Linked DNA regions of Nothobranchius furzeri. The protein of the gene in region 1 binds, or shares a complex with, the protein of each later gene. Links are inferred from orthologs where the notes say so. Each region holds a gene or a part of one and is shown on either strand. Other genes may lie near its edges.

Evidence for each region.
Region 2: the proteins of cop1 (region 1) and trib1 are in contact, whole or in part, in a crystal structure (PDB 5IGQ), measured with the Homo sapiens proteins. The link is inferred for Nothobranchius furzeri from reciprocal best matches to the Homo sapiens genes COP1 and TRIB1. Residues at the interface, in NP_071902.2 of Homo sapiens: Ile423, Ser425, Val441, Lys472, Tyr491, Trp517, Asp534, Ala556, Asn557, Cys559, Ala576, Asp577, His578, Lys600, Ala601, Ser603, Thr618, Lys643, Asn644, Phe645, Phe699; in NP_079471.1 of Homo sapiens: Asp355, Gln356, Ile357, Val358, Pro359, Glu360, Tyr361.

The regions. Positions count from the first base shown.
Region 1 is NC_091751.1:60,897,761-60,901,772, forward strand, and holds the start of cop1 (E3 ubiquitin-protein ligase COP1), read left to right. Parts: upstream 1-1,196; 5' UTR 1,197-1,429; coding exon 1,430-1,752; intron 1,753-1,827; coding exon 1,828-1,887; intron 1,888-2,570; coding exon 2,571-2,668; intron 2,669-3,568; coding exon 3,569-3,633; intron 3,634-3,754; coding exon 3,755-3,874; intron 3,875-4,012. UniProt on the Homo sapiens protein: E3 ubiquitin-protein ligase that mediates ubiquitination and subsequent proteasomal degradation of target proteins.
Region 2 is NC_091759.1:11,600-15,544, reverse strand, and holds the start of trib1 (tribbles homolog 1), read left to right. Parts: upstream 1-1,129; 5' UTR 1,130-1,711; coding exon 1,712-2,023; intron 2,024-3,364; coding exon 3,365-3,657; intron 3,658-3,945. UniProt on the Homo sapiens protein: Adapter protein involved in protein degradation by interacting with COP1 ubiquitin ligase. The COP1-binding motif is masked by autoinhibitory interactions with the protein kinase domain.

The DNA.
Region 1 (4,012 bases):
AAATGGATGCATGGATATTTTAATCTTGCTTCTGCCTGCATTATGAATATCAACCTTGTTCTATATTCATGGTTATATGATATTACTAATTTAGTTTTAGAAAATGAAAACGGAAAACCTAAAGACGTATCAATGGAACTCATGAACACACACACACACATGTCTGTCTTTCTATCATAGTGAGGACTTTCCATTGACTTCCATTCATTTTTGTGACTCCACTATGCCTAACCCATACCCATACCCTACCCATAACCAATGCTGAGCTATTGCTAACCCTATAACAACTTAATTCACACCATATCTCTAAAACCCGCTGGTAAGCTTTTTTAAAAAATGAGGACCAGAAAAATGTCCTCACTTATAGGGAAAATTGTGAAAATGGTGTTCAGTAATTCCCCTCAAGAAATCACATCACTCATGTTCTTAAAAACCTACACTGGTTGCCAATAGGATCATATGCAAGATCCTACTACTTACATTTAAATCTGCATGGCTCCACTTTATCTATGTAATTTACTAACTATTGCTACCACTTCCCGATCTCTTAGATCCTCATCTGCACTTCATCTGGTTCAACCTCGAGCTCGCCTTACCACCATGGGGAGCAGAGCTTTCAGTTGCTCTGCTCCACGGCTCTGGGACTCACTTCCCTCTGTCATTAGAAATACGGACCCTTTTCCATTATTCAAGGGGCACACCTGAAAACCCACTTATTCAAACAAGTTTATTCCCTTTAGACCTAGACTTTAGAATTGTTTCAAAATTGTATGTATCTTGTTTGTTTTTATTGCCCTATCTAACCTCTGTTGTTTTTTGTTTTTATCTTTGTAAGGTTACCTTGGGTTTGAGAAAGGCGCCCTCAAATAAAATGTATTATTATTATTATTATTATTATTATTATTATTATTATTATTCAGTATGTAGTAAGTACTAGAAAACACACACACACACACACACACACACACACACGTGCGCGCGCGCGCGCCGTTGGCGAAATGCATCCTCTAATTGCACAAACTCCTCTCCGCTAGAGAGCGGTAATTGAAAACACGGGGCAAAGTGGGGATCCTTCTCTGCAGTTAACAGGAGAAGAAGAAGAAGCTAACGGGAACTAGCAGGCTAATCTCCACAACGCTGTCGTGGTTTTGTGATTCCCTGTTTCAGTATTCGTGTTTTTTTTCCCTCACATATTTTTGTGTTTTATAACTTGGTAACCTAACTATACCCAAGTGACAAGCGCCCGACAAACACCGGTGGACACGGTTTACAGTAGCTCTGTATGAGCACTTCTGCTTTTCTCCCAGGATACTAGCGTATCACCAAGGCAGCTAAGTCGGCTAAAGGAGCCCAACAACAGCGCTGTCCGGATGCTTTGAACAGCAACGGAGCCGATTTTTGGTGGAGTTTTCAAAGCCGGTCTTGCGTGATGTCAAGCAACCGGCCGCAGTCAAACAGTGGCGGGGCAAGTTCGGTGCCTAGCACCAGCAGCAGTAGCGCAGGAGGCAGCGGGAGCACCACCGTAACAAGTAATGGTAACTCTTCTGGGAACGTTGTACCCTCCCGGGCTATAGCAGCCGGCGAGAGCGGCTTGTCTGTACCAACTCTGTCCGCCGTTTCGTCCCGGGGCGAGTTCTCTTCCCTCAGCAGACCATCTTCAACCTCGGGAAGCAGGAAGAGATCCCTCCATCCAACACCTTTATACAACGGCCTGTTGGATTCATACGAAGATAAAAGCAATGACTTTGTCTGGTGAGCTCTCTGTCAGCTAACCGAGACTGTGCTGTGAAAGCTGAGTTTCTGATTCATATTTGTCTTTTCTTTTAGCCCAATTTGCTTTGAAATGATAGAGGGGGCGCACATGACAAAGTGTGGCCACAGTTTCTGGTGAGTGTGGAGCTGCAGCTCGGGTTGAATTGAATGAAACACCTTAGAAACACTATTCACTCACAGATAGTGGCTGTTATTCATGTTGTTTACAGTTAGGAGTCCGTTTGAACGGCGAATCTACTAGTTTTTAGTTATTAAAACTAACATTTTACATTCGTTTTCGCAAAAACTGTTAGTAAGGTGATTCTAATGAAATGCCCATCAAATAGATGGAATAGGTCAGTTTAAAACTAAATGAATGCAATCCTTATTTAACAAGTAAAGATCCTTGAGATTTAAAATGCCGTCTGCCAGAGTTACCTGGCCCAGACAGGCAGCGGCAGGTGATTGAATGTTTAAAAAATGTTGAAAAACCAGTTTGAATTCTGTCAGTGAGACATATTCTTTCAGATTGAGTCAGTTTTGGAGCTAATTCCTATAATAAAGGGCAGAATGTTTGAGTAGCTTAAAGGGGAACAAGTCGTGTCCACACCTTTGGTTTGTTTGGGGGGATCTGAGTATAATCGGAGAAAACCAAGAGTATTTTTTGAAGTGAGAAAACAAATACAATTATCAGTTGTATTGGAAAGGTCAGATTTTTTGCGGCAGACACTAGAGGGTGAGTTTTTTTTCATTCCGTGATTTTTAGAACAGACTTGTGTTTATTTCTGTGTTAAATGCTCCCCTTTCCCCTGTTGCAGTTTCAAGTGTATTCACAGGAGCTTGGAGGTCAGCAACAAGTGTCCCAAGTGTAACTGTATTATTGACAATGTGGCTCAGCTGTACCCCAACTTTCTAGGTGGGTGTTTTAAGTTGGATGGTTGTTTTTACAGTCATCATTTTGAGAATTTAGCTAGTTTCGTTTTAAAATAGGGTTGGGCATCGACTGGAACCGGGACCAACTGTTAGCTTTTTTTGGAATCGTTCAAAGTTTTTATTTTGATTCCTAGTAAGCCGACCGGAAGATGACACCAACACTCGTGTGTGTGTGAGCGTCAGAAGGCTGAACAATAACCTGTAAAGTCATCGTGCTAGAGCAGCTTTCTCTGTGGTGGACCACACCAGCTTCTGCCACAATAAATAATAATAATAAATCACATACAAAGTTGTGAAATTTCCTTTCTGAACTATTTCTGTTGAGAGTTTTAATGTTTAAATCTGTTAGATTGTTACTGACAGCAGCTGCATTTAAGTTTCACTTTCTGTTGTGACTGAATGCTGCTGCAGCATGGAGGTGTAGTTCTCAGTCATCCTGGACATGATCATCCTGAGAGTTTTAGCTGAAAACAGTTGCACGTTTCTGGATATGTTGGAGACATTTAGCCTCTCATCCCAGAGGCTGCTTCCAGACTTTGGTTGTGGTCAGAAACAAACACACTGGTTGTGCTGCAAGTCTTTTTCTTTTTTTCTCCAAAACATGTTTTGGTCTAAATGAAGGTGATGCTGTTGTTCATAGAATTAAAATTCATGTTGAAGTTAAGATTGTTTCATCAAGTAGGACCTGTGGTTAGCTGGCTCATGTAAAGCATGTCATGTCTTGAAAGAATCGGAATCGGGAATCAATAGGAACCAGAATCGTTCAAAATCAAACGATGCCCAACTCTAAAAATGTGATCAAGTCGGTGTTATCCTGCTCAAAGAAGGAGCTTATGTTGTTTCTCCTTGTCGCCCTCACTCTGCCTCTGCTGCCGTTTCCCAGTAAATGAGCTGATTCTTAAACAGAAACAACGGTCAGAGGAGAAGAGACTGAAATTAGATCATCCGGTGAGTGGTTCACATTTTATTCCTGCTTTGTCTTTTCCTTCTTTGTGACTCTCAAACTTGCAGACTTGTTTGTTTTAGAAAAATCTGTTTCTTCCTGCTGATCATTGTTTTCGACCCCTAGAACGGGCCGCAGTGGCAGGTCTTTCAGGATATTTTGAATCCGGATCAGGAGAACCTGGACCTTGCAAATGTCAATCTGATGTTGGAACTTCTGGTTCAGAAGAAGAAGCAGCTGGAAGCGGTAAGTCATTTTGTGCGTGTCTGCGAAGATGATTGTAAGAGTCATTTGTAGCCCATTCCTCGTTACCCTTAGCTAAGCAAGGAAGTGTGTTCCGAGTATAGAATTGGCACATGTGGCTGCAGAAATAATGTGCAGGCT
Region 2 (3,945 bases), on another chromosome or scaffold:
AAGATAGAATTACAATAATATAAACGAGAAGAAATAAAAGCATGGATAATCATCTCCAAGTCCGATTTTGAAGTAAAAGCTCTCAATTTGGAAATGTTTCGCAAATGATAAAAAGCAGTTTTTTACTAAACGTTTTGAGTGGCAGCTCAAAGACATGGATTGGTCAAGAAGAACACCAAGGTTTCTGAGACTGGTCTGGACTGAGGAGCTCAGGGAACCGAGGTGTTTGATTAAAAGCACTTTCTGTTCAGGAGCAATGATCAGTGTTTCGGTCTTGCTTGAGTTCAACTGAAGACAGTTACTGGCTAGTCCTTAATATGCTCAATGCAATCAAGTAGATCAGCTAACTTGTTAAACTCTGTGTCCTTGAAAGAGCAGTACAGTTGAATGCCATCTGCATATAAATGGTAGGACACTTTAGTAAAGCTTTTAATAATCTCCCCAAGAGGGCAAATATATAAAAGGAACAAAACTGGGCCAAGGACCGAGCCCTGGGGAACACCGTGAAGCAAAAATGTGACTTCAGACCTAATCTTGTTTACACATACAGAGAATGTTCTGTTATTTAAATAGGAAGAAAACCACTTCAGAACCGTACCAGAAATTCCTAGGACATTGTGTAGTCGATGTAACAGAATTTTATGGTCAACCGTGTCAAAAGCTGAAGACAAATCCAATAAAACCAGTACAGTACATGGGCCAGAGTCAGTACATCATTAGATACCTTTAACAGAGCTGTTTCAGTGGAACAGTGCATCTTACGAAAGCCTGATTGGAACTTATCTAAAACATTATTAAGATAAGATGACTGCTTAGCTATTTGTGTTAGCAAGCAGTTCATCAAGTGTTCTTAAGGAAATGACCAGCGACTGTGAACGCTGCACCTCACCGAAGCTCATTTCCTCATTTTTAATTTAATTTTCCACAAAAAAATATTTAAAAATCAATCTTTAATCAATTAACGGCAATTTGGGGGTGGGCAGTGGGGGGGGGGTGCCCCCCTCTGACCTGACTTAGGGGCACCCCTGTTGAAAGTGAGATGACATTCATCTTCTTCAGGAGCTTTTTATTCTAATCACAAGAGGAAGACAAGTTCTCCTGTTTGCTGCTCTAACTGGTGATAAATGGCAACATGAGCTGAAGATCAGAAAATTCCGAGTTTGTTAATGATCGTCTGAAACGTGATGAGGTGTGAGAGGCGGGTCTCATTCCCGGTGGTGCGTTCACGTTCTTGTTTATGTATCAGCGGAATCGCAGAGCTCAGTGCAGGAATGTTGAGACTCTCAACATCCTGATTTCTCTGAAAGGTAAAATCTAGCGTCACCAGACACGCGCACAGTGAGCTGGAGTCGGTGCCGCTACAGGATTGCTCAACGCTTGTGTCATCAGGAGGCTGGACTGGTCGGGCGGAGTGTTTCAGAGCTCATCACCGGAGCTTCTCACTCTCAGCCTCTCTCTGAGTGTGAGGCGGTCTCCCCTCCTCTCCCCCGCTTTCTCTTTCTCTCCCTCTCTCTCTTTTCTTTTTTTTCCCTCCTTGATTGTGGATTTTTTTTCTGATCCAAACCTCAAAAGGAAGAAGAAGGACGCGGTCTGGATTATCAGCCAACGCGTAAAGTTTGATTTGTGCCAGCTATGAGACGGAGTGGGTTCTAACCACCAAGGGACGCATCTTTTTGCTTGATTTTATTCACATCTATATCATTTTATCTTCATGGCGAGCCGGTCGTTCAGGATGAACTTGCCGTGGAGCAGTCCTGCACCCTGCACCCGGAGAGTCGCGCACAAGCGGCTGGACTCGGACGACCAGCCGCCGGCCAAGTGCGCCCGGCTGAGCGCTGAGGCGGGGGACGCGCAGGGACTCCTGGGTACGTCACCCGGGTCCCCGCTCAACCCCGCGGCCAACCCGGCTCCCCACCACCAGGGACCGTCCAGGATAGGTCCGTTCCTCCTGCTGCCGCTCGCGGACCGGGAGAGCATGCACAGTGCGATGAACACCGATACTGGCGATGAGCTGCTGTGCAAGGTATGCGCAATCAGGTCATTGTGCAATTTCTTTGAATGAATGATGTTGCTCAACAGTCCGTCTGACACGCTATCCGTATTTAGCTCACCTTTTCAGCAAAATGTCATCCTCACGCTCCCTTTGCGTAATAATGTTTCTTAATGCTTCCCCCCTTATAACCAGAAGTCTTTTAAATACGCAATCAAGACCAGCCGTCGCCTTTCTGCATGTTGTGGAAACAGTCTCCCATGCTCAGCATTCACACTGTCTCTCAACTCGGCTCATTTGCATACACGTCACTGCCAAGCCGTGACAGTAAAATGCAACATGTTCAGCAGAATAATAATAATGCAAGATTAGAATCTATCCAGATAAAAACTCATATCTGCACCAGTATGAGGCATCAGGTGACGTAATGCATTAAAAAAATCCCAGCCTGATTTAGCTTCAAGTAATGGTGACCGTCATAAGTATTCACGATTAAATATGAATATCTAAATCTAAATATTTAGAATAAAAATCTAAATATTAAGCAATTAATGCAAAATATTTACAATCAAATCGAAACATTATATTTTTAAGGCTAAATTCTAAATATTTACAATGAAATCTAAATATTAAGAAATCAATTCTGAATATTTAGAATCCTGTCTAAATATAAGTTATGTCTAAATATTTAAGACAAAAATCTAAATATTTATTATAAAAATCTAAAATTTAAGCAATGAATTCAAAATATTTAGAATCAAAAATGAATATGAAAAGTTACTTCTAAACATTGAAGTTTCTAACCAAAACATTTATAATCCAATCTAAATAAGTAATCAAATCAAACATTTAGAATACAATTACATTTAGTACATAAAGTTCCATCTAATTAGCAACAATCTAATCAAAATATTTATATTCATGTAAAAATCTAAATATTTAGAATCAAATACAACAACAGTGCTCAAATTCATATACACCTGCAGAATTTTGTTTAAACAATTGTTGCTTTCTGTAAATCCTATAAACTTTGTTTCACATATCACTCCTAAACCCACTTTTTTTTAGGTTAATTCCTTTTCACAAGCCAGAATTCCAACAGTCACATTTTCTAATTGGTGCCCCATACTCCAGATTCTGTTTAGGTTTGCATGAAAACAAAATCCCTGGAGGCCTTTTTGATTATGAATTCAATCATTTAACAAAACACTTTTGCAAAAAGCAGCCGTTGAAAATCATACATGTAATATATATTTATATTTGCCCACTTGTTACCTCCTATGATAGGAAGACTGACTCTTATTGCCTCCTTCCTTCATGTTTCCACTCTGCATCCCTACACCTCCCCTTCCTCCTCTCTGATCTCTCCGCTAGGTCTTTGACATGGCAGCCTACCTGGAGAAGATCAGAGCCTACGGGCTTCTACCAGCTCACAGAAACGTGGCTGGCATCCGGGACATCATCCTTGGTGAACGCAAGGCCTACATCTTCCTGGACAAAGACTTTGGGGACATGCACACCTTGGTGAAGAGCTGTCGCCGGCTGGATGAGGGACACGCCTGCAGGCTCTTCCGCCAGGTGGCTCAGGCTGTGGCGCACTGCCACCAGAAGGGAATCGTGCTGGGTGACCTCAAACTGCGCAAGTTTGTCTTTGCAGATGAGAAAAGGTGAGCCGATCTGATGTTTTCTTTATGGAGGCGAGAACCGTTGTGCTTTTATGTTGATTCAACCAGCAGAAAGCACAGAAGATGACTTTTAGGTTTTTAAATGATCACACACAAAAATTCAGCTTGAATTTCACGTCGAAAGAAGTTCGACCTTTGGGACAAAGTTGGCTGCAATCTGCAAATTTACCACTAGATGTCACTACATCCTGAAAGATGTTCCATGGACGAAAAAACACTAAGATTTGATTTCAACTTTTCTTTCTTTTCTGAGCTAGTTCTAAGATCAAT